Drosophila melanogaster: one gene and its partner. The protein of the gene in region 1 interacts with the protein of each later gene in a pairwise test. Each region holds a gene or a part of one and is shown on either strand. Other genes may lie near its edges.

Region 1 (14,660 bases):
CGGTAATCACATCGACAGTAGCAGGGAGAGAGAACGGAGACAAAAATGAAAAAGAAAAACGCTGGTAAGTAAGTAATGGCTAGAGCGTTAATTAGTCAGAACGCTTATAACAAATATTAAGTTAATAACCATCCAGAAGAGCCAGAGAACCCGCTTCATGATGTCACGTTGTTGTGATACCACAAGCGAAAGCATATTACGTATACGCACCGTAGCCACTGGCAAGCAGATTACAGCAGTGATTGTCCGATTGAATCTCTATTGAAATGACTTAACCGCCTGACCCCAAATTAAATAGCAATGGGAAGTCGAGCAGCGCACTTAATACCTCATCGGGACGGGTGGGTCGCGTATCGTATCGTATCGCAATCAGCGTCGCCGTCTAAGCCAACAGTTATTAAACAATAATCAAAATACTATAATTAATGACACAGAGCCGCAGCTCGCTGACGCCAGCGAAGGCGGAAGGAGGATTGCAGCTAGGCAGCTAGTCAGCTAGTCGACCCAGGCTGTGAGCACGTAAATCAGAGAACCCAAACGAGAACGAATTCAGGTGGGGTAGTGGCAGGCACTATAATCCTGCTTATCGAAAATTTGTCATTTATTCAGTTATGCGTAATTCTGCTCCTGATAGCCCCGTTTTCAGATATCTCGTTAGCCAACTGTCACTATTTGTTAGCGCCCGCCAATCTCCGTTCTCTGTTCTCCGTTCACCATTTTCCATTCTCCATTCAACGCTCCCATTTCCATACCGCCCACCCACTTCGCTTGCCACTCCCACTCCCGGTGGCTCTTCCGTTCCAGCTGCTGCGAAAGTTTGAACGCGACAGCAGCCACATAATTAGCCTGCATATGAAAACATTTTAGAGGTTTCGCACGGTGTTCGTTTCGTTTCGAATCGTTTGGCCAACTTCCGTTCGCTTCTGCTCGGGATCTGGATGAGGTTGGAGAGTGGGCTGGTCGGCGATGATAAGCCGGGCACATCCTCCAGCCGGGGACTCCTATAAATACCTGTTGCCAATGGCTTTCGGCCAACATTTATTCACGGTCGCGTCCGCTGATTACACAGTCATACAGTCCGACGAACAATTGCATTGTGACACCGTTGCGCTTTCCAATACTCAAACTCCCAGTTGAACCAGGTAAGGGTTTTCTAACGGAACAACACCCAGGCCCGCTGCCCCGTAAATCACTTAGACACTTATGGTAGATAGATATATCAAATAATATAGTCAAACAATGAGCTGTCATTTAGAGCAGGTATGGCAAATAAAAGCGCTTTCTTAGAACTATTTTATGAGCTCTTTAGTACGAATAGGCCCTAAAACTGTGATTCATAGCCACATCCTTTCGGTGGGCGCAAGTCGGGTTTAACTAGAGGCTAAGTGCCTTATAATTCGCGTAATTCTCGTAATTATCGGCTTTATTTGCTTATTTTCCGGGCCGAAGTATGAGCAGCTTGCGTCAGTCCCGCCCAAAAATCATTGAGGGACCATAAGTGACGGCAGTAAGCTTGTACGATCACTTAACCGAGTTATAGCCTAGTTTTAGTCAATTAGCATACTAGATTGCCCGCTATTAAGTGAGGCCCTCCAAAGATCCAGACCCCTAAATAGGTCCCCGAGCGATACGAGATCTAAATTACTTAATATTGGTAGTTAATTCTAAGGTTTTTTTTTACCCTGTCATCGATTATTGTAAATGGAAAAACACCATCTAATTATAAACAAACATTGTTACGCTCACGTGTTTTACTTAACTATTCATTTTTATCGATTCTGTAAACAAAAAACTATTATAAATTACCATCGGTAATATGTGTGTACGTATTTGGTAAAATTATAAATCAAAAAGACTCACAGAAAATAACCGAAGTTTATTGTGTTCGCTTTTATTAGCTATTGCTAATTTTTTGCGACCTTCCCTAACTTTGCGAAGTATCGAAATGTTAGCATGCCTTTCGGATTCTCATGACAAATTACTAAAAGAACAGTGATAATTAAATTAAGCTTAACTGAGTTAAGATATTATATAGCTCTATAATGATACACAAAACATCCTACATAAACATACATTAGCCATTTATAGAACTATGTGCCAAACAATGCGTTGCATCCTGGTTGCCTGTGTGGCCCTTGCCCTCCTAGCCGCCGGCTGCCGAGTGGAGGCGTCCAACTCCAGACCTCCGCGAAAGAACGATGTCAACACTATGGCTGATGCCTACAAGTTCCTGCAGGATCTGGACACCTACTACGGCGACAGAGCCCGCGTTCGGTTCGGAAAGCGCGGATCGCTGATGGATATCCTGAGGAATCACGAGATGGACAACATAAATCTAGGAAAAAATGCCAACAATGGAGGAGAATTTGTAAGCATAGAATAACTGACTTTTGGGCGGAAAATTATAGATTTATGTTACAGGCTCGCGGTTTTAATGAGGAGGAGATATTCTAAATCCATTTTAGACGACCATGGCAACGTCACTAACTCATGATGATAGTTATTAGCATACGCATTTTTATTTAAATTGTTTTTCGGGGCAATAGTTTAACGTGCTGGGAAAGAACAAGTAGTTGCAGCTACAGAAATAAGTATTTACTCTAGTCTTGATGTCGGTTGAATAAATGAATTACCCCAATAATCGATGTTAATACTTAAATAAATGGTGCAAAGATCAAATTATGGTTTTCACTTCAGCAATATAAAAAATGAAATATACAGCTTGCTACCTTGAGTATACTACAAGTCGCTTTAATGAAAACCCAAAGACATGACATACTTGCCTACTTTTGGGCCGCGCTTTAATTTGGATAACATGGCTAAAGAGAGCAATTACTTATTACTTATTACATATTCCCTGAAGTCACAATGGCAAGTACCCCTCCATACAAGCGGCAACTGTAGGTAAAGCAATTAGAAATGGCATAACTTATATTCAAGGATCATTGGCATCGCATCTTACTCAAGGGTAGTATGGAGATCGCCAACAGGAAGAGTTCGCAGTTGTACTGGATCTTGGAGCCCACCAACATGGCCCCAAACGCCGCTCCGCATCGGCACCACATCAGGCTGATACAGAGGGCTTTGCCGCGCAGGTAGGTGGGCACGAATACCAATAGGGAACCACCGAGCAGCCCAATTATGATGCCGGGAAAAGCGATCAGGAACACGAGCGAAAAGAGCTGCAACATGTGGTTGGTGGCAAAGATAAGCAGAAATCCAAATGTCGAGGAGGCCACTAGGGAGAATACGAACATCACCTTCTTGTGCACGCAGAATAGCGATGCCCAGGATATGTTGTACAGCACTACATAGACAAAGCCCAGAACAAAGGAATCGTTGAAGCCCTTAAAGGAGTCACTACAGACCTAGTAAATTATGAATATGTTGATTTTTAAAAACGTTGGCAGACTAGTTAGCGGAGGTTTCTTGGCTTACCACGTCCAAGTCCGATTCAGTTTCAATAAACGGACCCGTTTCTGGAACAAAAAGTACCTGGCAGAAGGTCATGCCATTCGTGTTCCCCTGCCTCATATTGCAACGGTTTCGCATGGCCGTATACCAAATTCCCAGGCCGTGTGTCCTGTGAATTGTTGGAATCAGCAAAAGATAACGACCCTAGCCTTCAACCGATACTTACAGCAGCCCTAGGACGAACATAACCATGCAAACGCACGTGAAATAGCCGCCGTAGGGCTTCCGAACGAGGGGCATAGCATCGTCCAGCATGGAGCGAAAGAAGTTCTGATGCTCCTTCCGCCGCTTGACCTGAACGTGCTCCTGGTAGGCGAGCAAACGTTTCATTTGATCCTCGCTAAGAGTACGTCCGGTGTTCTTGCGGGATATCCACTCCATAGTATCTAAGCCTCTTTTCGTCTCACCAATCATTAGCAAAAACTTGGGGCTTTCCGGCAAAAGGAGCAACAGCAAAAAGGCAACCACACCCGGCAGAATGTACAAACAACCCAAAACCCGCCAAGGTCTTAGTGTCAAGGAGCCCACTAACTTCTCCTCAAACTCTATTAAGCCCGAGCTGAGAAAGAGCGTAGCCCACGCAGGGCACGAGATCATGGCAAAGCCAGTAAACATGTACAAGTGAGTTATGGAACGGACCATAATCCGGTGCGAACAGAACTCACTTAGGTAGGTGGCTGCCACGAAGCTTGGTCCGGCCACACTGAAGGAAAGCGTAAATTTCTAAGTGTACACTGTGGTCTTCGATCTCCTCATGGTACTCACAAAATACATGTGATGAAGCGCATGACAAAGAAGCCAGTGAATGTTACCGTAAACATTGAGGCCAGTGAACACAAGTTGCTTATAGTAATGGTCCGCAAAAGGGTCCAGCGCCGACCTTTCTTGTCAGTGATGTAGCCCCAGAAGTAAGAGGAGCATATAATGCCCATAAAGCCGGCCGCTGTTAACGAGGCCAACTGCGCCTCATTCATGCGGAGATCGCAGACGGCCGCCGGACCAATGATGCCCATGCCCATTGTTTCTTGGATGGTGAGCATCTGCAGGAGACCGAGTGTCACAGTGGCAAAGAGATGGACCCTTCCGAAACCTGTGGGCGTGAGCTATGCTTGTGCATGCAAAGCGTTTCTTGACTTTTGAATATTTACCAATATCTTCCATCACCGAATCAAAGTGCTCCATCTTGTGTGCATTGGCTATTAATTAGGACTTAAAATTTGCAAAACGAATACTGTTTCGTGTTTAATATATCCTTGTCGTGTTTGTTCTATTTATTTTGATTAAAATCGCAGGGCCTAGACCAGCTGTATGTTCTCAACTTCCTTAATTAGATCCATGTGCTTGAACTCGTCCGGCTTACGGGTAAAAGTGTTCAGCAAGCGCAGCTTGCCCTCGTCGGGCTTCAGGTAGAACATCTGCAACTCATTGGCCAGACACTGAGCCTCCTGGGCTGTGAGTACCTTAGTGTCGTATTCACCGCGCATGAGAACTACACCCTTGTCTTGGACCTCGGTATAGTGAACCACTGTGAGACACTCCGGAGCGTTCTCATGGTGCACCTGGTACGCCAAAAGCGGAGTGAAGTGCACGGTGTTGGCTGCGAACTGGAGCATGACAAACTCGAATCCCTCACTGCGGGGCAGTGGCAGCAGAAAGACGGGGTGCTCCTTGGCGCGCGCCATGAGGTTCTCGTACTGAGATGTGCTTAGAGTGGCGGCCAGGACCTCCTTGGTCTTATGGTACTCCAGCCAAATCTGGGAGACCTCTTCGGCGGTCTTGTCCTCAATCAGTTCCAGTTTCATGATATCAGTGAGCTTCTTGTGGGGCAGTTCAGCTGCCTGCTCAGCCTGCAGTTTTTGCTTGGGATTCAGAAGCTCGGAGTAGGACCTGGAATTGGCAAGGGATCAGCTATGGATTGTCTTCTGCCCGAATACTGAGCTTACCTGGCCTGGCTCTGCCCATCTTTGATGGGATTCACCACACGCTCCACGCGATCCAGGAACTCCTCAGCCGACGTCTGCTGCAACTTGGCAATCTTGCTCGCGTACTTGGAGTAGTAGGGATTGTCCTCCTTCAGCTTCTCAATGGCCTCCTCGGCACGTCGCGCGGCGGACATGGTGATTGTGCGGTTCGCCGTCAAAGAGTTATTCAGGAAAACGCGAAAAAGCAATTTCTTGGCGCATGCCATTTCCTCACCTCACATCAAAAATTATACAACTAGACAGCTGATTCTGATTGTCAATAAGAAAATCGATACTATATATATCGATAGTTGGCTCTAGCGATGGGCTATGGGCGCGGGTAAGACTTTTTCTACATCACATGCGCGATGCTCAAAATAATTATTATCTTTTTATTTATTTATTTTATTTTTGTGACACAAAATGTTAAGCTGCAGACCGTATTTCGTCTAGGCTGCCATGACGTTTTAAAACAAATCCAGTTAGCTGCTTATTTCAAAAGTAGGCAATTGCAAACATACATTTTTTACAGTCATTACTACTTTGGCGGAAAAACATAGGAAGTTGATAAATTTGAAATCTTCACAGTTTCAACACAAAGGTAGAGCGTTACATATTTATGTCGACATGTTCGCAAAAATAAGTATTTAAATTACACATTAATATTTTTTAATAAATGTAAATAACCGGTTATCTAATCATGAACTAATCTAAAACCTTCTGGGTATCATTTATTATTTATTTTTCAAAATATTCGTAATTTAATCTTTATATTTAGTTGTTTTCATCACTAAATTAAATGTTTCAATAGGGAACGACACTGACAGCCAATAAATTCTACAAACAAGAAATGGTTCGTATTTCATAATCTTACTTGAAATCCGTACTTAGACCTCCTTTGTAGCGCATTTGGTTAGCAAATAGGCTATACTCGATTAAAAGAATATGGAAATGAACATATAGGGAAATAAGACAGGGGTGCAGTAATAAAGTAAACTGAAGAGTTTATTTAAATAGCAAACAACTTTCACTACTTTTAGGAGCCATTACCCTGGCATACAATAAAATTGGAAACCAGATGCGTAAGTAAGTTCTATAATATTATTCGTGATTACCAGCCCTGGGTCTTCAGTTCACCGCACGGTCGAAAATTTTGTATAAATATCCGCAGTGAAATCAAGGTGATTTTCATTAAAGCCGTTCTTTGTTAAAAACGACTGCAACTTTTGCTTCTATCGGATAGACTTTTTTTCGCCGCCAATTCAAGCGTAAACCATACTTCTAAAAATGGATACGGATATTCAAAGATGCTTCCGGAGCAAAACGGTGTTCCTAACTGGAGCCACCGGCTTTTTGGGTAAAGTCGTTATTGAGAAACTTTTGCGGACCACAGAGGTGAAACGCATCTATGTGCTAATTAGACCAAAGCGCGGAGTTGAGATTAAGGATCGGATTATCACCTGGTCAAAAGATGCGGTAAGTAAGGCGATAGGAAATTTAAAAGAAATACTCACTCGAAAGGTGTGGAAAAGGTATTTGAACTGCTGCTGAAGTCCAAGCCGGAGGCACTTCAAAGAGTATGTCCCATCGCTGGGGATTGCCTCGACTTTGATTTGGGAATCAGCGAGAATGATCGAAGACTTCTGGCCTCCGAGGTGCAGATTGTCATCCATGGAGCTGCCACCGTGCGATTCAATGAGCCGCTTCACGTGGCCCTGGCCATCAACACAAGGGCCACCAAGCTGATGATTCAACTGGCCAAGGAAATGAGGCAGCTGGAGGCCTTCGTTCATGTATCGACCGCCTTCTCCAACTGCGTTATCTACAACATCAAGGAAAATTTCTACCCCGAGCATCTCAACTGCAGTTCCGATAAGGTGCTTGCAATGGCAGAGCTGATGAGTGACGAGCTACTGGACAACATGGAGCAAGCGCTCCTTGGCTCGTTTCCCAACACGTACACGTACACCAAAGCACTGGCGGAGGATGTGATCCTGAAGGAAGCGGGTGGCTTGCCACTTTGCATCTTCCGACCGGCAGTCAGTAAGTAATCCTTATTACGTACTCTGTCTACATCTTGTCATTTCTACCCTTACCCAGTTATTGCGGCCCACAAGGAACCCATCTCCGGCTGGATAGACAACATGTACGGACCAATGGCAATTCTTTTCGGGGTGGCCCGTGGAGTACTGCGCATTGCCACCATCGATCACCATGCCGAGGCAAGCCTGGTGCCCGTGGATTATTGTGCCAATTTGACTCTGGCCTGTACCTGGAAGACCATTGTGGAAGGTAACGAGATGGGAACACAAGAAACTCCTCTCATCTACCAACTGGCGCCCATTGAGCAGAACAAGATCACCCACGGGGAGTTCATTCGACATGCTCTCGATGGACGCACCAACTGCCCGCTGACAAAGATGATATGGTATCCCTTCATCCACTGCATCACAGTGCCGTGGCTCTTCCCCCTGGCAGCTTTCTTCTATCACACCCTGCCAGCCTACTTTTTTGACCTGGCTCTCTGGCTGAGTGGCCGGAAGCCCAGACTAGTAAAGGTTTACCAAAAGATCCACAAGACTCTCGGCATCCTGGGCCCATTCGCCTGCAAAAGCTGGCGCTTTGACATGCGGAATACGGATCACTTGAGGCAGCAGATGTCGGAGGAGGATCGAAGGATATACTACTTTGATATGGTCAGCCTCAACTGGAAGGAATACTTCGTTCAAGCTCTGCGTGGCATGAGACAGTTCTTGGGAAACGAGGCACCCACCCCAGAGTCCATTGCACAGGGCAAGAAGCTCATTAAGCGGTAGTTTCCATTGTCTTTTCTGTTTCTTACAAAGTGTATTACATCTAATTGTATTTTAGTTTAAAGCTGCTCCATCATATCCTGCAAGGTGTCCTTTGCTTTGTGGCACTACTAGCACTGTGGTCGTTGGTAAGGATCCTAGTCTGATTCAGCAGTACATAGGCAACCCACCGACTCACTTTCGTAATTGCGTCATGGAATTAAATAAATATATACAACACATAGACATGTCTTTTATTTAATTACTTGAATGGTGGTAGCTATAAGGTTTTTTCCTCACGAGCCGATCTAAATAGGTGCACTGAGTGACACAATCGATTGCATAAAGTATACGCAACTGGTTACATCAAGAAGTGATATATATACAATAGTATGCACCTATTATAATGTAATAATTTTTTAATTGAAATCGCTCTCTGGTATTCTATTGATCAAACCTTATTGAAATAAATAGGCCATAAATTGGTATATAAAATGTTATGATATAACATATATATGTGTGGTTCCTATACAGAATACAAGGTCTAGCACATATACGGTGTAGTCACGAGGATACTTATATGCGATTACGTAACGACTGATCGGGGACTTCTTACACGTGCCCATACAAAATTTATATACGCGGAAATACAAAGTCATCGCATGCAATTTATCATTTACCATTCTTGTTTACCATTCACACATATACTAATTTGAATTTCACGCAAGAGATGGCAGCTCTATACTAAGTCTCGAATCAACTTTAAAATTTTAAATTAAATGCACCAAGGTTATTTTCATTCGTAAGCAAAAATATAATTAATAAATGCAACTAGGCCTTTAATCGAAGCAACACAAATAATTATCTATACCCAAAAAATAAACTTTCGCTGAGTTTAGAGCACGAGCTCCTCCCTAAAACGGGAGACCATTGGGTGTCTTGAATATGCTGAACTCGACCTTTGTTGGGTGTAACTTATAGATTCCCAAATAAATAGAAGCGCTAGTTTGGAATCACTTTTCAGTTCACTGGCTCGCAACGCGTTCAAGACCCTTACTCGGAACAAAATGGATAGCGAGATACAAGGATTCTTTAAGAACAAGACCGTGTTCCTTACGGGTGGCACCGGATTTCTGGGAAAAGGTACCCCACTCCTCGAATCTTTTCGCAAGCTTATGGAGTGTGCTTTTCAGTGATCATTGAGAAACTACTGAGGACCACGGAAGTCAATCGGATTTACTCCTTAATTAGACCTAAGCGGGGAGTGCCTATCGAGGACCGAATCACAACCTGGGCAAAGGATCCGGTGAGTGATATTCAGTGCTAGAGTGACAGATGTGTCCTGACCGCTCGTGTTTCGAAGGTGTTTGAGGTGCTCCTAAGGACGAAGCCAGATGCCTTGCAGCGAGTTTGTCCCATCGCGGGCGACTGCTTGGATCCGGATCTGGGTATAAGCCAATCGGATCAAAGGATCCTGACCGCCGAGGTGCAGATTGTAATCCATGGAGCTGCAACCGTGCGATTCGACGAGGCTTTACACATCTCCTTGGCCATCAATGTACGAGCCACTCGTCTGATGCTTCAACTGGCCAAGCAGATGACCCAGCTGGTGTCCTTCGTTCACGTATCCACTGCCTACTCCAACTGCGTGGTGCATGACATCGCAGAGCGATTCTATCCGGAGCACTTGAACTGCAGTTCGGATAAGATCCTAGCCGTGGGTGAACTGGTAAGCAATAAATTACTGGACGCGATGGAACCTAGCCTTGTTGGCTCCTTCCCCAACACGTACACCTACACCAAAGCCCTGGCCGAGGATGTGATCCTGCGGGAGGCGGGCAACCTGCCACTGTCCATCTTCCGACCGGCGATCAGTAAGTGCACCAGATTGGGAATAACCTTCAAAAGCTGCAACTTAAATATTCCCAGTAATGTCCACTTACAAGGAGCCCCTGGTTGGATGGGTGGACAACCTATTCGGACCACTGGCCCTCTGCTTCGGCGGAGCTCGCGGTATAATGCGGGTCACCACGGTGGACCCTTCAGCCAAGATCAGCCTAGTTCCCGCTGACTACTGCGTAAATGTGGCATTGGCTTGCGCTTGGAGAACGGCGGAGATATCCGTACAGAATGGAAAGGTCACGACGCCCCCCATTTACGCGTTTGCACCTAGCGAGAATAACCTGATGAGCTACGGAAACTTTATCAAATCATCTATTATCTATCGGGACATCATACCGCTAACCAAGATGCTGTGGTATCCCTTCGTCCTGTGCATCTCCACCACATCCCTATTTCCGCTGGCCGCCTTCTTCTTACACACCCTTCCCGGCTACTTCTTCGATCTGCTGCTGCGCCTCAAGGGCCGGAAGCCCATACTCGTGGATCTGTATCGGAAGATTCACAAGAACATCGCCGTCCTGGGTCCGTTCTCCAGTACCACCTGGAACTTTGACATGACCAACACAATGGAGCTAAGGGAAGCGATGTCCAAGCAGGATCGCAACCTTTACGACTTCGACATGGCCCAGTTGGATTGGAATGACTATTTCAAGGCCGCCATGTATGGAATGCGTCTCTATATTGGCAAGGAGAAACCCACCGCGGAGTCCATTGCCAAGGGTCTGAAGCTGAGGATGCGGTGAGTTTCAAAATGACACTTTCCAATCGCTTTAAGTAACATAAAATGTTTGCAGCCTGAAGGTCCTTCACTATGCATTCGCATCCTCGCTGGTTGCTTTAGCTGGTTACATCCTGTATTCTCTGGCCAGACTTGTAGTTTAGTTTTCGCAGAGGGGCTAGATGTCCTCAACAGACTCAACGGTATGACATATTATTTTGATGCTTAAATTAATTATCAAAAATAAAATATAAAAACGAAAAACCTAGTGTCATTTGCACAGTGACTTGCAAAACAGCAGAGATTTATTTTAGAGACGAAAAATAAATTTGCAATCGACTAAATAAATACAGTTTGTTGTATTTGTAAATTTTTGGTACGGAGCCATCAAAGCCATTGGGATGCGATCCTTTTTGGCTTATTCTTCACCTTTCGATTCCTGGATCACTCGATATGATAAAAAAAAAGAGTAGAGCACATTTGTATGACTTCGTTAGCAACTTTTTACAACTCCTTTTAGGTGGATGCCTAAGAGTATGCTTTGAAATTTATAAACTAATTTCTAAGATATGTCGGGAATTTATAATCTTTTTCTACAAAATTTCTACAAATTTAAAAAGGCTTCCGTTCGTTGAAAATTTATTCAAGGACCCAATTTATTTTTGACAAATTTATTTTAAGCTTTCTACATACATCTATATTTTACATATCTATATTTTTTGTATGTTTCGTACGATCAAGGTATAATCCGTAAAAATGTTCGACTTAAGTTTTTTTCAGCGGTTTTTAAAATATTTAAATTATTTGGAAAAAGAGGGAAAGAGAAATATTCTTGTTTGGATCCCAAAAGCCGATCCTAAATATTACAAAACGAATATTTCCAGTCCCTGTTAACCTTTTCTTCAAATAAAACCAGGAAGAATATTTGTCATAATATCTGCATTTAATTTCTGAGTTACGCTAATCAAAATGGCGTGGAGAACGAACTTTCATTATTTAACAAAATTTCCAATTGTGCTGCAACAGTGTTTAAAGTAAAACAAACGAGCACGGATGACAGTGCAGTTCTCAAATCAGCCGAGAACCGAGAAATGCAATTCAACCGTAGCTGTGACTATTCATTAGGTATTTCAGGTGTATTTCATATAATTTAGCATACGATTGGCCGGGTCACTGTTCAAATGGCACTGCGTCTACCGTCGCAGCAAATATAAAAAGCGCGACCATACCCAATTGATTTCCTATTGAAGTGTGTCTTTAACTCGCAATTATCGCATCGGTGGAATTTGTTCACAATGACGCCGAACAATATCGTATCCAGAACGGAAATGGACAACGGCATCCAAGGATTTTATAAAGACAAGGTGGTGTTCCTAACAGGCGCCACCGGGTTTCTGGGAAAGGGTATGAGCCGAGGAAAGGAACCCACGTGAACTGTTTGTATTTCACCTACATTTTCCTAGTGATTATTGAGAAGCTCTTGCGAACGACGGAAGTAAAACGTATCTACGCTATGATGAGACCCAAAAGGGGAAAGGATATTCAGGAACGTCTTGCCATATGGCAGAAGGACCCAGTAAGTCAAAAGTTACAACAAGGTAGAGCCCCTCATAGGATTTGCTTTCACTTTTCAAGCTTTTTGAAGTCCTGCTAAAGGCAAAGCCAGATGCCCTGAAGAGAATCTTCGTCATCGCTGGCGACTGTCTGGACCCCGATCTGGGCATTAATAGGTCAGATCGCAAGCTCCTAGTTTCTGAGGTGCACATAGTCATCCATGGAGCAGCCACCGTGCGTTTCAATGAGCCACTTCATGTGGCACTGGCCATCAATACACGTGGCACCAGACTCATGCTCCAGTTGGCCAAGGAGATGCTTCAGCTGGAGGCCTATTTGCACATTTCAACGGCGTTCTCCAACTGCGTTATTTTTCGCATCGAGGAGAAATTCTATCCCGAACACCTGACCTGCGACGCGAACTCGGTTCTGGCCATGAGTGAGCTACTGAGTGAGCAAATGATGGACAAACTGGCACCCACTCTAGTTGGGAACTTTCCCAACACCTACACCTACACCAAAGCCTTGGCGGAGGATGTAGTCCTACGAGAGTTCGGCGATCTTCCCCTGAGTATCTTCCGGCCATCAGTCAGTGAGTATTCAATGTGGTTAAAAGGAGAGGATAAACTGATAAACATGGCTTTCTCACAGTAATTGCGACCCATGAGGAGCCTGTTTCCGGTTGGATCGATAATCTCTACGGACCCATTGCTCACATTTATGGCGTGAGCCATGGAGTCCTCCGCCTGACCACCTACGATAAAGATGGCTATGCCAGCTTGGTGCCCGTGGACTACTGTGCAAATGCGGCTCTGGCCAGCATATGGCAAACATCCAAAGACAAATCCCAACGAAATGCTATATCCCAGCCCGCCATCTACACCTTAGCTCCCAGTGAAAAGAATCTACTACTCAACACGGACTTCATAAAGCACTCACTGATCCACCGGAATGATTTTCCACTTACCAAGATGATATGGTACCCGTTCGTGCACAACATCTCAAATCCACGAATTTTCCCCTTAGCCGCCTTCTTCTATCACACTTTACCAGGCTATTTCTATGATCTAGCCCTGAGACTCTCGGGAAGAAAGCCTCGTCTGGTGAAGCTGTACAGAAGTATACATGCCAACATTGCGGTACTAGAGCACTTTATGAACAACAGTTGGCACTTTGAGACGAAAAGCACGGATCGGCTGAGAGTGATGATGTCTCCGGAGGATCGGCGATTGTACAACTTCGATATGGAGACTTTGGACTGGAAAGAGTACTTCCGGAAGGCCCTCTTCGGCATGCGACTTTACCTGACCAAGGAACCTCCAACGCAGGAATCTCTTGAACAGGGTCGGCGACTCTTTTATCGGTATGTTCTTGTGGAAAGATGTTCTATATTTGCATAAAATGATCTCATATACATTATTAGATTGAAGATCCTGCACTACAGCTTTGTGACCCTACTCTGTGTCATAGCTGGCTTCTTATTGTGGACGCTTGTCAGGTTATTTATTTAATCTAATGGCCTCAATCAGAACTCGAACTATTAAAAACCTTGGGTGTTCATTGAATAGACTGTAGTTTATAGGTTTAAGCAATAAACGGACAGTTTAAATTAAACAAATAAGATCGAATTTGAATCGTCCAATCGGATTTCCATTTAACTAGCTTGTTGTAAACTTCGGCAGCATGTATTTCATATATTTATAAGATTAGGATATAAGTTTTATCGGTATGTGTAGATACTTTGGTTATCATTTAATATTTTGGAGAAAAATGAATGCCTACTAATTCTTAGTTTTTAGTTTTCGCCGATTCCCGTATGTTGAATTTGGGAACACGATCCTTTCGGGCCAGTATTTTGTTGGAGTTATCCTCGATATTGATGGCGCTGATGATCAGGTTGACCCGGCGTTCAATGACGCCAATGAAAAGCTTCACATTGTGAACTGTCAAAAAGGTTTTGGTACTGAGCACATTAAGGATAGGAGCATCGTCACAGGCCAATTGTCTAAAATTAAAATGGAATTTGGTAGACAGTCAATAGTAAGGATATATACTCGCAGATTGCACCTGAATATATCCTCGATGCCCTTGAGAAGCTGTTCTAATCTGATGCTCAGGGTTCGCTTCCTTTCTCTGGTCTCCTCCGCCAGCTGCTCGATCCGCTCCTTCTCGGCATTTAGATAGTCAAGTGCCTCGGTCTTAAGCTTCAACTCCTTCTCGGTCTGCTCCGATTTCTGGCGCTCTGTTTGGATTATTATG
Region 2 (16,050 bases), 5.2 Mb from region 1:
TGGATTAACCCGATTAACCTCTGCGAATGGATCGACTCAACAAGCGCTGTAAATTTTTGCCCCTGCTTCTTTAATGTCTAATTTCTAACCAGAAATGTTTAATTTACGTTGCGGGCGGCTGTGGGGATATGTATTTTATATTTTTACGCTTTCTGCCTCTCCGATTTTCGTCGGCCCTGGCCAAAAGGCAAGGCCACCACTAGGGGAGCAGCAAACAAAACAAATAATGCGTCACCATGGCGGATGAGCGATATGTGCAAAAAAAAATTCGCATTTGGGATGGGAACGTGAGAATATTTTTAAAAGATTAGATGTGTCACAGTTAAGATATTTTTGGTAAATATTTTTTATAAGCTTAACGATTGAACAAACATTTAGGGGTTGTACGGGGCGTATGAGTAATATTTTATTATATAATATTTATTTTATATATATTTATTTGTTTTAAAAAACGTGCTTTTGTAATTACACAAAAGATTGTGATTGCTTTCAATATATATTCCGTTTAATGCATTTTAACAAAAATTACTCATACGCCATGAAAGCCGACGCACTGCAATATTCAGTTATTTCCTGAATGTGAGATGCCTTTTAAAAAGGATAGCTATCGTGCTAATGCTTCCGCCATAAAAAACACAACAATTAAAACCAGTGGGCATTTAAGCAAAAAATATGAAACTAGTTTGGTCAAGATATCCATTTCCATTGTAAGATTTAATTTCCAACGGCCAATACAGCTTCACGCTGCCATCAATGTCTGTAACCTGTCGCTCACAACCATCGCTGTCTGCTCATTTATAAAAACGCAGGAAAATATACGATATTCTAGTGTCTGTATGCAGAAGGCACACACTCGTATGGGAGGAATATGGGAATTTATATACTTGAAATGAATGTGTAAAAAATATTTCATCAAAATGTTTCGCCCAAACAAAAACCACAAAGCGCACACAGACAAGGGACGAGCACAACGAAGGAACGAACAGTGGGAAAAACAAGGCTATAAAGCAATATAAATATCATTTTTTATTTATTAAATTTTAGTGGGTGTTGTGCATTGAGCCGAAAGAGGCGCAAAGTGTTTCACTGCCTGACTGCAGTTGCGAGTGGGTTTTATTTGGGCAACCATCTCGTTTTCCGGCGAGGATCCATCCGCTCGTCGGTAAGGGCGTTCGACATAACAGCACAAAGGTATGCCGGAGCAAATGTTCCTCTCTAATTCCGTATTTATTGCCACACACACAGACACACACTCTCAACTAAAGAAGGTTGTAATTCTGCAATGGACTTTCCTGCCGCGAGGCTGGGCTCGATTGGCGGCAAGTCGGCAGGGGCAAGACTTTCAAAAAACAAAGCAACCAAATGTTGCATAAGCATGCTGTCACCTGGCCTCAAAATTGAATTGCAGAAAGCCCGTGTCCGTGGGCCAGGCCTCCAGTTTTCCCCTGGGGCAGTCAACTAAAATGAAGTGAAAAGCTCGTTAGGATCTGGCCAAATGGTTTGGGTGAAAGGGCTAAGGCAACGGCTACCGCTACCGCTACGCCTACGTGTGAGGCAGTTAACTTGCCTTTTGTGCCCGACCTAATCAGTGGGCAATAACGTGACCGCAAATGCCTCCTAATCTTGACCGACAAACAAAAGGATCGAAGAGGCGGAGACTGGCCAAAGAGGTCACTAAATAAAATGACCAAAAAACGATGTCCGCCAAAAATAAAACAGAGCATCGTTCGTCCGTTTTAAAGCTGTCACCCTATCAAACAGAAGCGAACAAAAAAAGGGAGCAGCATAGAAGGACACTAGGAAAAAAGAGAGCGAAACATTTATTTAATGTGTTCGGGTGAAATCTTGTGAGGAAGGGTCCGCAGTGGAGTGGGCTTTTTTTATGGTCTAAGACAAAATTCATGATTATTGCTCATTCTGTCAAAACTACAACATAAAATAGAATGTTTTAAAGCCAGATGAGCAATGGTGAGGAGACACAAGGACATGGCCGGCCAGCGTCCTGGTCTCTTAAGTTTCATTCCCAAAAAAAAAAAAAAAGAAAAAACTGGCAACTATCGAATGATAAAAGGCAACTCGGACTCCAATTGGAAGTGAATCCTCGTGGGGGGGAGAATGTGGCCGAGCCGAAAGCAGCCAAAGATATATGGGAATGAGCTTGATAGAGTCTAACTAAATGCGCCATTTATATTCAAATATCCGCCACTAAAAAACAAAACGAAATAAAAGACGGCGCTGGCCGCAAGTTCCCCTCTTAAGAGGCTCGAATGTCTTCAAAGGACAAACAGCGGCAGGACGAAAAATATTTTCTTTTATTTAAATGAGCCTCATCTCTATGTATCCCTCTGTAGATGCGAGACATGTAACGGCTGCGCCCCATATTTCCTTCCTTTTTTTGGGAAACTCTTGGCTCTTTTTTGTTTCCAGGGTCAAGCGGTGGGTGGTGTTGGTGGTGGTGAAGGCTAGGGTCTGCCCGTCATTAGAAACGTCGACTTTCAATAGGTGAGGGTGATTTTCATTTTGGGTTTTCTGTGTGTGACCTACCCGGTGAAGCATAAAAGATGATTAGGCTCTTTCAAATTTAGATGTAGCGTGGTCAAAATGACGTAAAGGAAAATGGTTCAAAGTTCTGTGGCACACACACACATATATATATATACACACTTGCTAATATTGGCCAATTGCTGTTGGCCATAATTATACTGGGCGACAATGAAATGGTTGACTGCATAATTGGATTAGTGTCCCCCAAACGACGCCACAACAAATCCAAATTGAAATTGAATTTTCTAATTGGACTTAAGGCTCGTCTCCGGAGGCACAAAGGAAATTAAATAAAGATTACCGTCCAGCGGAAACAGCAAAAGTATTCGGTAAACAAAAATAAATAAACAAATAAAATAATATGATATCTAATTTATTTTATAAAAACGTTACAGCTTATATTACACAAATGCTGCAATATAAAGCAGAATTATCGTTGGATTGGACAACCTCAGATGTAAAACTTTGCTTTAAATTCGAAATTTGAGCTGTATTTATTTTAGGGTTAATAATGATTGTGAAAGGAAAACATTACCGAATTCGTTTATACCAAAGCGGCTTCCAAAGATATATAAATTTAAGCTGCACTTCATAGAGAGGAAAATGAACTTGGTTTCGAGGTGAAATCCTAGAGAAATACTTAGAATTTTGCGGTAAACCAACAGCATCATTTCCGAGCTAATCGGGTTCCAAATAGTTTACAAAAAGCCCCATGTAATCCCTGGTTAGCCCTTTCGCACAGCGTTCCGGCCAAGGCAGAAACGCTAATCATACAAAGGAGCTTTGGGGGAACGACTCCCTACCATTCTGTGTCATGAAATATATGAGCTGGCTGAGCGGTGCTTCATCATGCCCCGGCAGACAATGAATGAGCACAGCCTGGAAGCTGGGAAGTCACTCATCGGGCGGCTGGGCTGGCAGCAGTCCATGACCAGAACTCCACTTCCCAGTAACCAGTAACCAGCCAGTAGTAAGCAGTAACCAGTACCCTGTAGCAGCAGCAGATTTCCCTCACCCACTCCAGTTGCCTGGGGTTCGCCAGTTTTTGAAGACCCGATCCGACACTCCACACTCCACACTCCGGGTTGATTCAATGACAACGGCAACATTTGTGCATGCATAGAATATTCCGCTGATGATAACACAATGAGCCAGGAGGGGGCTTTATGAGGAGGGTGCCATGCCTCACCGAGAGTGAGCTCGCAAAATTTATGTTTACATACACCGCTATTCATTCTGCGACGTCGTAAGTGCGGGCTTTGCGGTATATTAAGTGGGTAGCCTCATCTCAACTCGGAGCTCCGAGAACCAGGACCTGCTCCTGCTCTTCATCTTCAGTCGTGGCAGTGGCAGTGCTTGCTTTTTATTTAAATAAGAAATAATTTTGTCGACATGAATGAATGAAGACTTTTATCTGCCCGGCACCCTTGCCTCGTTTCTCTTCGCGTGATGTTGTTGTGCTTTCTTTTGTTTCTTGCCCGCTTCCACTTTTGTTTGCCACTGATTTAGGATAACTGCCAGGGATTCGAGGGCGGGTTTAGTGGTTAGGGGGAGAGCTTTTGTCCATAAATTACTAAACCGAATTGAGCGCAACTCACTAAACGCGTCCTCAATTGGCTGTCCGAAAAGTTGACCACGTATTTTAATCAGAGCTTCTCTGCCCCCATGGAAGCAGTTCATTAACATGCAGACATTGGGGGAAAATTCATGAGGAGCTGCAGGATCGGTAGCTTGAGGTGAAGCAGCTCTAGACAATAATCAAGTTGGTCGTTTGCTCTGATTTTATTCGGCAAAGTAACACGAGTTCGGATTAGTTTCATTACCTCTCCAGTTTGGCCAAGTTATCCACCTCTTTTTCACTCAGGTCGAGGGGGTTTCGGAAGGTATTTCGGATACTAATGCACCGCAAAAGGCAGCCAACCACTTAAAGATTAAGTGCAGATCCAGCCAGGCGCAACCGAGAAACCGAAAAACTGGAAAACCGAAAAAGGAGAAGGCAGACTAAACCGGAGACGGAGAAGGAGCCGGAGCCGGAGCCGGAGCTCAGACAAAGGATAAGGCCCTGGCGGTTGTGGCCTTGGTAACACAGTCCCACCCAAAAGGCATCAAATCTCCTGCCCCTGCTTCCTGCCAGGACTCACTCAAACAAAGCTAATTAACAGATTTGTCAGCTTTTCATCACTTGGTGATGGTGATGGTGATGGTGCTGGTGGTGGTGCCTTCATTGTTTTTCTCTTCTTTTTGTTGTTTGACTTTTACACTTTTGAACAACAAGCCGAAAGGAAAAAGCATGAAGGAATGCAAAGTATTCGATAAAAAATTATGAAAGAAACCCATCTTGATGCATGCCTGTGTATGAGTCCCAAAGAAATCGAATGAATGGTGTTAAGGCAATAAAACACCATCAAAGCCAGGTCCACGTTCCACGACAAGACGGTGTCGGGGGAGCAGGACGAGGACGAGGACGAAACGTAGGCGGAGGCCGCAACGGAGGCAGGCACTAACTTTTCAATCTCTGCTGCAACTTCCGACAGAGACAGCCATGTGTCTAGGCTCTCATTCTATTAGGAGCCCCCCATACACCAGGCGAAACTTCAGATAAACAGACTATAAGCCTTTTCTATTCATATTGTGTTTGGCTAAAAGGCGAAATGATGAACTGACATTTTTCAAAACACTAGACAATTCCCAAAATGTATTCTCTAAAATGTATAATCCAGCTGACATAATAGTTTGGGTCCTCTGTTTTGTAAGGAAAATGTTAGATATGCTTAAGATTGGCATTTAAGTGATTTAAAATGTACTAGCTGAAAAGATGAAAATAGATTTAAACTAATACAATTGGGGAATTGATAGAGTCAGAACCTTTTAAAACAAAAACCGAAAAGGAATAAATAACCCTTAATGTTCGGAGTGTAAAGCCATCCATTCCATTCTCTTTGCCCTGTATTGATATGTATGGTGCAACTTTGCTCGCAAAGCACAGCTAAATACTGGGGTGGCGAATCCTCTGGCGGGTTGACTAAGGAACCCCCCGGGAGCCGAAAGAACAACAAACAACTGAAACAAATTGCAAACTCATTAAATTAAAATTATATTTAATAACCGCGAGTGCACGCAGCGCCCGGCGATTTGCTCTAATGCCCAACGACCAAACCTCGCGCCCACTTGCACCACTTGCAGCGAGTGCCCCACCCACCATTTGGCAGAGAATAACCGCCGCCCACTTGGGTGCATTCCGTGTTTTATTGTTGCAGTTCCCGCCCCGCCGCCGCTGCCCTCGCTGGTGCCCAAGGCCCCGCCACCGCCGCCCCCGCCCCTAGCTCCCGGTGAGAAGAGAGTGCTCAGCAGCACACAGAAGGAGACCCTCGAGAAGCTCAGGTGAGTGGAAACCTCGACGACTGACCCATGAACCCTGACCACCGCCAGTGCTTGCATACCCGAATATCCTGGCATCGGGATAGTTTTTACCTTGAAGGCGCAGAATGGCCATAATTCCGATTCGCTTCGATTCGCAGGACTCGACCCCGAAGGCGCCCCGACTGGTCCGAGATGATGAAGGAGGTGGAGAGCGGCAAGAAGCTGCGCCATGTGGCCTGCAACGATAGGTGAGTGGTGTCCGCATGCTGTGCAGTAATTACCGACTGCAATACTCCCGATAATTAAAAAGGGAATGAAAACTGAAGTTATTTAAGGCCACAGGAAAGAGTACCTAGAGCATCTTACTGCGTTTACGCCACTTTATCCGGCAAATGTTAATGACTTTTACTTAAATTTTAAGTGTGCAGAAGTACCAGCAGCCAAATAATAGATAACTCTGCACGAAAATGTTCAAAAATCTCTTTTATAACAATTCAAATCCTAATAGATCTCAGCCCATCCTGACGTGCAAGTCGATAACCAAATTGGACGACAAGTTCATCTACGAGACGGAGAAGGGCAACTCGCACAACAAGCTGCTCAAGCAGATCCAGGGCGGCATCAAGTTGAAGCCAACGAAGACCAACGATCGCAGCAAGCCGGTGCTGGACGGTCTGCGCAAGTTCCGCCGACAGATGACCATCGAGGAGCAGTTGCAGAAGTCGCAGTCGAAGATCAACATGCTCAGCGAGGCGCCTAGCAGCCATGCACTCGGACCGGGCAGTGCCACGGCCTTGGGAGCCGGAGGATCCCGGCCCAGCATCGTATCGGCTATGTCCATCGACGAGGAAAGCCCCGACGAGCTGGACGACATCGACAAGATCCGCGACGATCTGCAGAGCACCAAACAAATGCTGGCACTGGAGTTGCGAAACCGTGAGGCGCAGGATCGCGAGAACAAGAAGCTGCTGGCCAAAATCCGCACCCTAGAGACCGAACTGGAACGCGAGAAGTCACGCGAAAAGAATCTCGAGTACGGATCCAATGTGATTGTGGCCACCATGGATCCTACGCCCACCGCCGAACAGACCTACGTCAACTCCCTGAAGCGCGAGGTAGAGGACGCACGGAAGGTGTCCAAGGAGGTGGAGCAAAACTATCAGAGCACCGCCGAGCAGCTGGTGGAGGCCAAGACGGAGATCGAGGAGCAGCGCCGCCAGATTCAGTTGCTCGAACGCAAGTTGGCAGCAGCTCTTCAGGTAATTCCTTTTGCAGAACGGGTTCGGTAATATGTATATGTAGGTAATGGGATGCTGCTCAAAGTGTTGTCAGTTGAGATTAGGATTTTGGATTACAACCATTTACAACATAACTATCTCCAAGGGTATGCAAAGCATCGGACTCCGAAGCTAGTCCTTCTTTCTTGTTTTTAGTGTCGCCGGCGTCGCCTCGCTGCGTCCGCTGAGGGCGGCAAGTAGACGGGAGCAGCTAACGAAGCCACCGCAATTCGTAGACTCCGCCTTAGATCCCTCGTTAGTTGTCCCTAGTAGCCACTGTAGCCAGAGAAACAGATCAGCTGACAACACTTGACACAAATGTGGAATGGGTCTGGGAAAGGATTACCCGTGGATACACCTTGTTTTCTTCCTTCTTAAAAACGGTTTGCACACGAGACTTAAAATACCAGAAATCTGATTGAAGCCAGCAGACAGCTTGCTGTTGAGAAGGAATCAGACAAGTTGAATAGTAAAATTATTATCAAGAGAAAGCGAAAAATGAAATTCAAAACTGACCATATTTTATCAAAGCTCAATTTGTATTAAATTTCGGAAGCCATACTTTTCAAGTAAGGTGCCTTCATCCCTTACCTGTGCTATCTGTTTGCTTGCACACAATTCCAGACAAAACAAAATCAAGTTTCTGGGGAAATGCTCAAAAGGTTCCAGAATTTTTCTTTAAGCAAATAATGGACCTGGCCATGCCATGGTAGACATTAAAAAATGTAATCTTTATCAAAACGAAACGAGAGGTATAAACAATGTCCGAAGATCTCGTGTGTAGACGACCTTAAACTCCAACTGCCGGACGCATGCTGCATGAAAGACTCCCGCCACCCGCATTCTGCTTCCGCCCAGACCAAAGCGGTGTTATGACCCGTCTAGGACACGTCCGGTCCCGATTCCTATCCCCCTGAAAGCTTTGCTATTGCACTCCGCGGCAACTAACCGATTAACCCGTTCACGCTCTCTTGCAAAGGCGACACCAAGCACTAACAGACCGCACATTAGTAATTGCTTTGCTTACGACGACGACGACTACGACGATTGCTTCCACTACGACCACTACCATGCAGCACGGCATCAGGTAAAATCAGGCCCCGCTCAAGGATGCCCTCACTAATCCAATGTGTGTATCCCTTCTTTCCCGTTTTCCGTTTTGCATTAACTGCGGCTGCAGGGCGGTGGATCCTTGGACGGATCGCGTCGACCAAGCGATGCAAACTTTGGAAGGGATAGCTCGCCGGAACTGGAGCCTGAGGTCAGCGAAAGCGATCCTGACGAGCCGGAGGAGAAGAAGGTGGAGCGCAGGGAGCGTCGCTCTGGCAAGGAGCTCAAGATCCTGCGTAGCAAGCTTACCAAACTGAAGGTCAAAGAGGAGGCGGCCAAGAAGGAGAAGGACGCCCTCAAGCAAGCCATGAAGAAGAACCAGAGTATCCTCAAGTGAGTACAAATTGTAATGTAGTATTGTTCTTAAACTGGAAACAACTCTGGATGACAGGGAGGAGAACAAGAAGTTTAAGAAGCTGGAGAAGGAGGTGCAGAAGATGGCTGCCTCCATGAAGCTAGACGAAGACGATGTGGACGGCGAGGAGAAGGACGAGGACGAAGAGGAGGCCGAGGAGGAGCACGCCAGCGAAGAAGAGGAGGAATCCGACGACGAGTCCGAGGAGTCCGAATCGGAGGAAAGTGAGGCGGAGACGGGCAGCGAGTCCGAGCCAGAGGTGAGTTAGCCCCAGAGAATCGTAAACTATTTAGCCAGCTCACCTGTACCGTATTCCGCAGGACTCGCCCAACTCCGCGAAGAAGGCGAATGTGGAGCCGCGCGTGAAGAAGCACGAGAGCCGGTTCGCGGCGATGAAGAAGTGCAATGTGCTGCTCCAGGCGAACGTCGACAATTTGCAGGATCAAATTGTGCAGGTGCGATCGCGGGCCACCAATCTGCAGGACGAACTGGACGCGGTTATTGCCGATTTGGGCTTCTAGTCCCTCAGCTTGTCTTCCGTTTCTGTTTCCGTTCCTTGCTCTGTTTTTTCGAGTGTGTGTGCTTCGAGAATATAAACATAAACAATAATAAACAAACAAACAAACGAAAAACTAGAGGTGGATGTAAAATTAATTCTGCAATCGATGTATGATGTCGATGTATGTATCGATGTCGCGCCGTCTGTATTCTACATGTAACGGAATTTTTACAAAGTAATGTAAAATGTTGTGTCGCTGTAGATTTGAAATTTTATTGTTTATTTATAACTATTTAAATGAATTATATAAAAATGTAGTGCAAATTTGCATGTAGAAGAGCGTGAAATTCAAATGCAAATTATAACTTGTTTTTATTTTATTCATAAGTTGTATTTATTACCGTATTTTAAGCATGTATAACAATGTACAAAACAACAAATCGGCGAAATTGGCTAAACTAAACACGCACTACGAGTATTTACTTATGAGTGGAGTGGATATCACGCGTCCCTTCTTATATATTTTGATTAATCTACGATCTGAGCCTTGATATAAGTAGAGTCTACGATGAATGAACCGGGTTTGCTGCCGGCCACTGATGCTTGCCGGGATTGGGTGAGAACGATGTGACAAGACGAGGGAGAAACCGCGAACTCTTTTAGTTGCTCTGGAACCACACTATTCCAGCAGGATGAGCCTGAATCGCTTCCGCAGCGACGACTCGCGTGGCAGGGTGCCTGCCCATTTCTTCAGGGCCGTCAGAACCACAGATCCCATCACCATCACCGCACCCACCAGCGAGTAAGCGGTGGGCGTCTCTCCGAAGAAGAGCATCTGCCAGACGAAGGCGAAGACGATGTCGGCGCAGCGAGCAATGGCCACTGGTCCGGCCTGTTCGATCTGCAGCGATAGCGTGAGCAGGATCTGGCCCAGGAAGCTGAATACGCCCAGTACAACGACCAGCCAACGATCCCGTCCGCAGCTTGGCCAGCACACAGCTCCAATAGATGCGCAAACGATCAGTGTGTAGACCAGAGCGATGGTACCGAAATTCGTCATGATGACGGAGAAGTGCAGGTTTTTGAGCGCCCGCAGCAGGATGTACACATTGGCTCCGAAGAGTGTGGATGATATGGCGGCCACTGGTCCCCAGATGTCGTACGTCTTCCCAGCGACATCCTCACTCTCCGCCGTGTCACCGAACACAAAGGGTGGGCGCGTGATGAGGACCACGCCGAGCAATGTCATATTGATGGTCAGGACATTGAACAGCGTACACGGCTCCTTGAGGAAGGCACGCGCAAATATGGCCACGAAAACGGGCGTGGAGAAGATGATGACACTCGCATCGGCCAGGGGCATGTGTCGGAAGGCATAGAAGCTGAGCATCAGACCCGTTGTGCCCATGAAGCAGCGCAGCAGCAGTATCACCCTCTTGCCCTCCGGAAACACCGGCTGTCGCGTGTATATCAGGATGGGCAGTGCCGGCAACAGGACTCCGACGAATCGAAACGAGGCCAGCTCCATGGGGTTCACGTCCACCAGTCCCTTCACAATCACCGAGCACAGGGAGAAGAAGAGCGAGGAGAGCGTGGCCAGCAGGATACCCAAGTAGGGACAATCGGCGCCCAATCGTCGCTGCAAGCGCTCCAGCCAACGGGGGGCGGGATCTGGGGGCGGGGCGCCCTCCTGGAACTGCTGAAGCTCGAGGTTTTCCGGCATTCTGTGGGGTTTCTTCTCTACAGTTTCTGGATTCCTTCAAAGTTTCAGCATCCTGCAAATGGGATTTGCATCAATATGTGTGCATGAGTGTGGGGAGTCTAATGGTAGCCCACCTGCCCTGAAAAATCGATTTCTTTCGATTGCCTTCCTTATTTACGCGCTGTGTCACTGTCTGCTGCCGCCTTTTCTGCGTTTTCAATGGCACATCGTTTCCCCGCCGCCAGTTTCACTGAGTTTTATTCATTGTTTGCACGCTCCGACTGCGTTTAATTAAACATTTTTAATTCTTTTCGCGAATGGAGATTCCGGAAAACCCTGTGGGCCAGTATTGCCACCCCGAAGATCTTAGTCCAGCCAACAATGCCACCTTTTTAAACGACTCGTCATGTTTAACGGTTTTATTTCGATATATTTTTATGAACTTTTAAAAGATTTGAAACAAGTTTTGCTTAAAATGTATTAAAACTGTAAAACTATTTTGGCATAGCACATTCAAATTACGGTTATAAATATTCCGAAACTTGTTTAGACCGGCTTTTACGGTTTGTGAAAACGTAAGTTGGCAGGCCAGCCAATCAGCTGCTGAACTCCGAAAGGAGAACAATGACTCGGGAATCGGCAGTCGCCACCAAAAGAAATTGGGCGATTCTGGCCGCAGGAGTTGGCTTGGTATACGTCCTGGTGCGGCACAGGCACCGACTGCTGTGTCCACTGCGTCGCGTCTGGTCCTTCGGCAGCCTGGTGCCCCAGCGACGCATAGAAGTGATCAACTCCGTCCAGGATCCGACCACGCAATGGGTTTTGAATGAACTGAAGAAGTAAGTAAAAACCACTTTAATTTCACGACAATGGAAATATATATATATATTCTGCCTCTTAGTCACTGCCAGACTTTTAAAGTCCTTGGATTCGATTGCGAGTGGATCACCGTGGGCGGCAGCCGCAGGCCAGTGGCCTTGCTCCAATTGAGCTCCCATCGGGGTCTATGTGCCTTATTCCGACTGTGCCATATGAAACAAATACCCCAGGATCTGCGGGAGCTTCTCGAGGACGATTCCGTGATCAAAGTGGGCGTGGCACCCCAGGAGGATGCCATGAAACTTTCGCACGACTATGGAGTAGGCGTGGCCAGCACACTGGATCTGCGCTTCCTCTGCGTAATGGCAGGCCACAAACCTGAGGGACTGGGAAAGCTCTCCAAAACTCACCTGAACTATACACTGGACAAGCACTGGCGCCTGGCCTGCTCCAACTGGGAGGCCAAGACTTTGGAGCCAAAACAGCTTGATTACGCTGCCAACGACGCACTTATGGCGGTGGCCATTTATCAAAAATTGTGCAGGGATCTGCAGCCAAAACACTTTTGGCAACGAAGGCAACTGGACGACAATAGCATGCACAACAAATTCGAACCCTTTCTCGACGTGGACTTCACGAAAGGCTTCACACTCAACCCGTCCGGCAGCGGAGTAACTCGTTCAAAGGGCTCCACCCAATCCAAAAGCAATAAATGGGTGCCCAAGAAGCAACCGTACCGGCAAATAGCTACCCGAACCAAAGACTTCTACGATAACTGCCTGCTGCAGGCGCCCGATGGCGAACTCCTGTGTACAATTGACAGGCGCAAGGCGTCCTGGTATCTCAATCAAAATCTGGGCACGCATATAAGCGAAGAGCCCTTCACTGTCCGCCTTAACTTCGAGCCAGCGGGTCGAGCGGTCGGAGATGTGGGGCGCTTCTATCAAACAATCAAGAAAAACCAGTGCGTGGTGTGTGGTGACCGGGATGCGTACATTCGGAAGAACGTGGTACCGCGGGAATACAGAAAGCATTTCCCATTGGTCATGAAATCTCACACCTCCGACGATGTGCTGCTCCTGTGCCCAACCTGCCACCAGCTAAGCAACATCTCGGATCTAAGGGTTCGCAGCAAACTGGCCGTGCAGTGCGAAGCTCCTTTCAAGCAGGAAGACGGATCTGTCAAGTACCATGATGATCCGCAGCTCAAGTAAGTATGCCATACATTTTCAGAACTAAGTTAAAAGTAAAAGTAAATTATACATTGCGAGGAATGTAGATTGCCTTATCAGTTATCTTACCAGACATATTTTGCCTCTTTTTTATCACCTAACTTTCCAAAACATACCCTGATATATGATAAAATTAATCTCCATAGAGTTCTCAATGAATCTGAATTGCATTTTATTATTTCCAGACGAGTCCAATCCGCTGGCAAGGCACTACTTCATCATGGCGCGAAAATACCCGCTGCAAAGAAGGCCGAAATGGAAAAGACTCTCCTCGATTACTACTCCGATCAAACGGACATCACAGAAGATCTCCTGCGGCAAGCAGCCAGCGTGGAATATCGCGTAGAAAACTCCGACTACTGTCAGCATGGCGAGCGGGTGGTGCAGCAATATCGCGATCATTTCGGCGGCCTGGTGGAGCTGGAGCGCTTATGGCGGCAGCACTTTCTGCACACAATGCAGCCCCGCTTTTTGCCCGAACTCTGGAATGTCAACCACAATGCCGATCGACTGGAAGTTCGCGCCAGCGAGGGTCGCATCGATAAAGCCGATCTTATGGTGGCCGGATTGGATGCGAAGATTAAAGAAACGTGATGCAGGGCTTTTCTGAGTTTGCCACCGGCTTTGTACGTTTTATATTTCAATTTTAATAAAAATAAACTAAAATTTTTTTTTGTGCTATGGTACAAGACGGGACAAGGAGTCACGGTTCATGAGGCAGATGAGCATCTCTGGACTAATCTAGGTGACTATAAATATAAAGCTTACCGTATGGGACAATAATACAATATGTACACGTTTAAAACTGAAGCACCTGGATCGAAGTAGAGTGGAGTGCGGTAGCTTGGAATGGCGAGCTAAATGAACTCGAATCCCTCATACTTGTAGTCCGTCTCGATCCTCGTTTCGGGCAGCAGTGTCTTGCCCGCAATATCGAAGGCTGTGATGAAGGTGGCCGTCTTGCCATTCAACTCCTCCGACTTAAGAGCCACGATTATTGAGTCATCGGTGCCGGGCAAGAACTTAAAGCTAGAGAAACCATGCGTGGGCGTTGTATTTTCAGGATCGAGCCGTACAGTCTCAACGTTGGTGAAGCTTTCGTCGGCGGAGACCAGGACATTGCAGCCCATGTGCTCGTCCTTGGTTTCGTTGTATCTTTCAAAGATAGATCGATGAGTTAAGGATTTAAAGGCTGACACGCTTACTCACTTCTCTTTCGAACACCGCCTAGGCAGGAAAAACCAGCGATTCCTTTCCTCTGACCAGGTTCCACTCTCGTGGATCATGTAGCCCGGCCAGGTTATTTGCATCGACTGCAGGCGCAACTGCTTGAAATTGTCCACCCAGTTGAGCGACCTCACCTCGCCGGACGGAGTGATGGCCTTTACGTACATGGGGTTATTGTTCTCGAAATCACCCGCACTTGTCGTCCACTCCTTGCCCATGGAGCCCACATACAGCGTTTGCTCTTTCACTGTGGCCCATTCGGCCTTGAAGCCCTTGGCACTGTGTCCGTCTCCATCGAGCAGGATCACCCAGGGAATGGGCTTGTCATTCACAATCTCGTATATCAAACCCGTTCGGTCGTCGAAGGTGAGCAGGCGCCCGTTGAAGGTGACTAGCTCAGATAGCTCCATTCCGCGGCCCTTAAGGGCAAATGCTGATTCCAGGACTATCGGCGCCCCGTCATCCCAGCTAATCTGGATCTCTGACCTGGCCACCGTGTAGGTAAGGTAGCCCTTCTTCAGGTAGCTACGCCACGTGCTGCTCCCATCGCCCTTGCTCACCTTGGAACTGGTGTCCAGATCGGCAATCATGGCTATCCGGTAGTTTATCACACCGCCACGCAGCACCATGGGTGACGTGAGCGGATATGTGGCATTGTAGGCCTGGACCACTGGACCACCATTGTCCAGACTCCGGGCATCCGTGTAACTGCGGCGCAGCCAGTAGCCGTCGGAGGAGGAGTGCGATCCCTGGCGCGCAAAGTAGAAGAGTAGGACGAGTACGAAGGCGCAAACAATCAGAAGGGCGAAGTGATAGTTAAAGCGCACCGTCCGATTCCCAATCCGGTACGTGGGCGTCCGCAGGGCCGATCGCCAGTCGCGCATGTACATGGCGCGCGGCGAGTGTTCTGCGTGTTCCCGGTACGCGAAGGCAGGGCTCTGCATCTGGTCGCACGTCAGCAAGATCTCGTTCGCGGTGATGTGTCCGATTTTCTTGGTCTGCTGCTCTGTTTGTTTGGATGCTGGCGGTGTGACCAGCGCATGAGCGGGCGATCAGCTGGCGCAACAGCTGGTGCAAACTGGCGAGCGCATGCGATGTTATCGAGAAACAGGTGCAACAATTCAGTTTAAGTTAATGTAAACATACTGGGAAAAACATGATTTGGACAAAGACCGAAGGTAATTGAAATTATCAAAACAATACAACTGTCAACTGGTATCGCAGTCACTTGCAATTTATACGTATTTCTTGCTTGGATATTTTTTGTCTACATCTAGCTATTTTCCATGTTAGCCAGTGTTATCGATAAGCAGTGACTGGTCGCACTGCTGACTGCCGATACATTTTCATATTTCTTCTTCTTCAGCAGCACACGTGCTAGCAGCTTGCGCATTTGTTTTGTTTTCGTAATTTATCCGTCGTAAATTGCGAAAATGCGCATTCAAACGTGCTATTTTTGCTCTAGCAAAATATACCCGGGCCACGGGGTGCAATTCGTGCGAAATGACTGCAAGGTAAGAACGATTTGCTTTCCTGTTTACATGTGCTCCGATGTTTATATTGCTTCGCCATATTCCGTCGCAGGTCTTCAAGTTCTGCCGAGGCAAGTGTCACAAGGCCTTTAAGCGCAAGAAGAATCCCCGCAAGGTAGGATGGACGAAGGCGTACCGCAAGGCCGCCGGCAAGGAGCTGGCCATCGATCCCAGTTTCGAGTTCGAGAAGCGCCGCAACGTGCCCATGAAATACAGCCGCGAGACCTGGCAGAAGGGTCTGGAGGCCATCAAGCGGGTGACGGAGATTAAGGAGAAACGCACCAGCCACTTTGTCATGGAGCGACTGCGCAAGGGTCGCCAGGTCGAGATTCAGATGGACGTCAAGGATGTGCAGCGCAACATGTCCCTGATTCGCTCCCCAGCCGCAGGGCT

What was found.
Region 2: the proteins of CG10340 (region 1) and CG17230 interact in a two-hybrid assay, tested with the Drosophila melanogaster proteins (one large-scale study listed by BioGRID).

Annotation. Positions count from the first base shown.
Region 1 is NT_033777.3:16,608,687-16,623,346, forward strand, and holds CG10340 (uncharacterized protein), read right to left. Parts: upstream 5,706-14,660; 5' UTR 5,663-5,705; coding exon 5,418-5,662; intron 5,362-5,417; coding exon 4,770-5,361; 3' UTR 4,712-4,769; downstream 1-4,711. Other genes in the region: NPF (neuropeptide F), read left to right, coding at 2,093-2,368, 2,422-2,454; CG12783 (uncharacterized protein), read right to left, coding at 2,864-2,898, 2,963-3,368, 3,439-3,583, 3,641-4,177, 4,240-4,564, 4,623-4,656; CG17562 (uncharacterized protein), read left to right, coding at 6,723-6,911, 6,968-7,478, 7,536-8,247, 8,307-8,394; CG17560 (uncharacterized protein), read left to right, coding at 9,295-9,370, 9,421-9,533, 9,591-10,101, 10,157-10,868, 10,924-11,011; CG14893 (uncharacterized protein), read left to right, coding at 12,143-12,251, 12,311-12,423, 12,483-12,993, 13,053-13,764, 13,825-13,912; Ccdc114 (Coiled-coil domain containing protein 114), read right to left, coding at 14,190-14,406, 14,469-14,643.
Region 2 is NT_033777.3:11,430,998-11,447,047, reverse strand, and holds the start of CG17230 (uncharacterized protein), read right to left. Parts: upstream 9,264-16,050; 5' UTR 9,168-9,263; coding exon of another isoform or gene 8,967-9,167; 5' UTR 8,949-8,966; intron 8,906-8,948; coding exon of another isoform or gene 8,683-8,905; intron 8,625-8,682; coding exon of another isoform or gene 8,362-8,624; intron 8,269-8,361; coding exon of another isoform or gene 8,161-8,268; intron 7,164-8,160; coding exon of another isoform or gene 6,413-7,163; intron 6,153-6,412; coding exon of another isoform or gene 6,063-6,152; intron 5,926-6,062; coding exon of another isoform or gene 5,802-5,925; intron 4,857-5,801; exon of another isoform or gene 4,742-4,856; intron 1,192-4,741; exon of another isoform or gene 1,054-1,191; intron 1-1,053. Other genes in the region: sals (sarcomere length short), read left to right, coding at 5,802-5,925, 6,063-6,152, 6,413-7,163, 8,161-8,268, 8,362-8,624, 8,683-8,905, 8,967-9,167; CG5281 (uncharacterized protein), read right to left, coding at 9,825-10,868; Exd2 (exonuclease 3'-5' domain-containing 2), read left to right, coding at 11,472-11,686, 11,749-12,876, 13,084-13,492; CG5276 (uncharacterized protein), read right to left, coding at 13,756-14,053, 14,108-15,069; RpL24-like (ribosomal protein L24-like), read left to right, coding at 15,559-15,639, 15,710-16,050.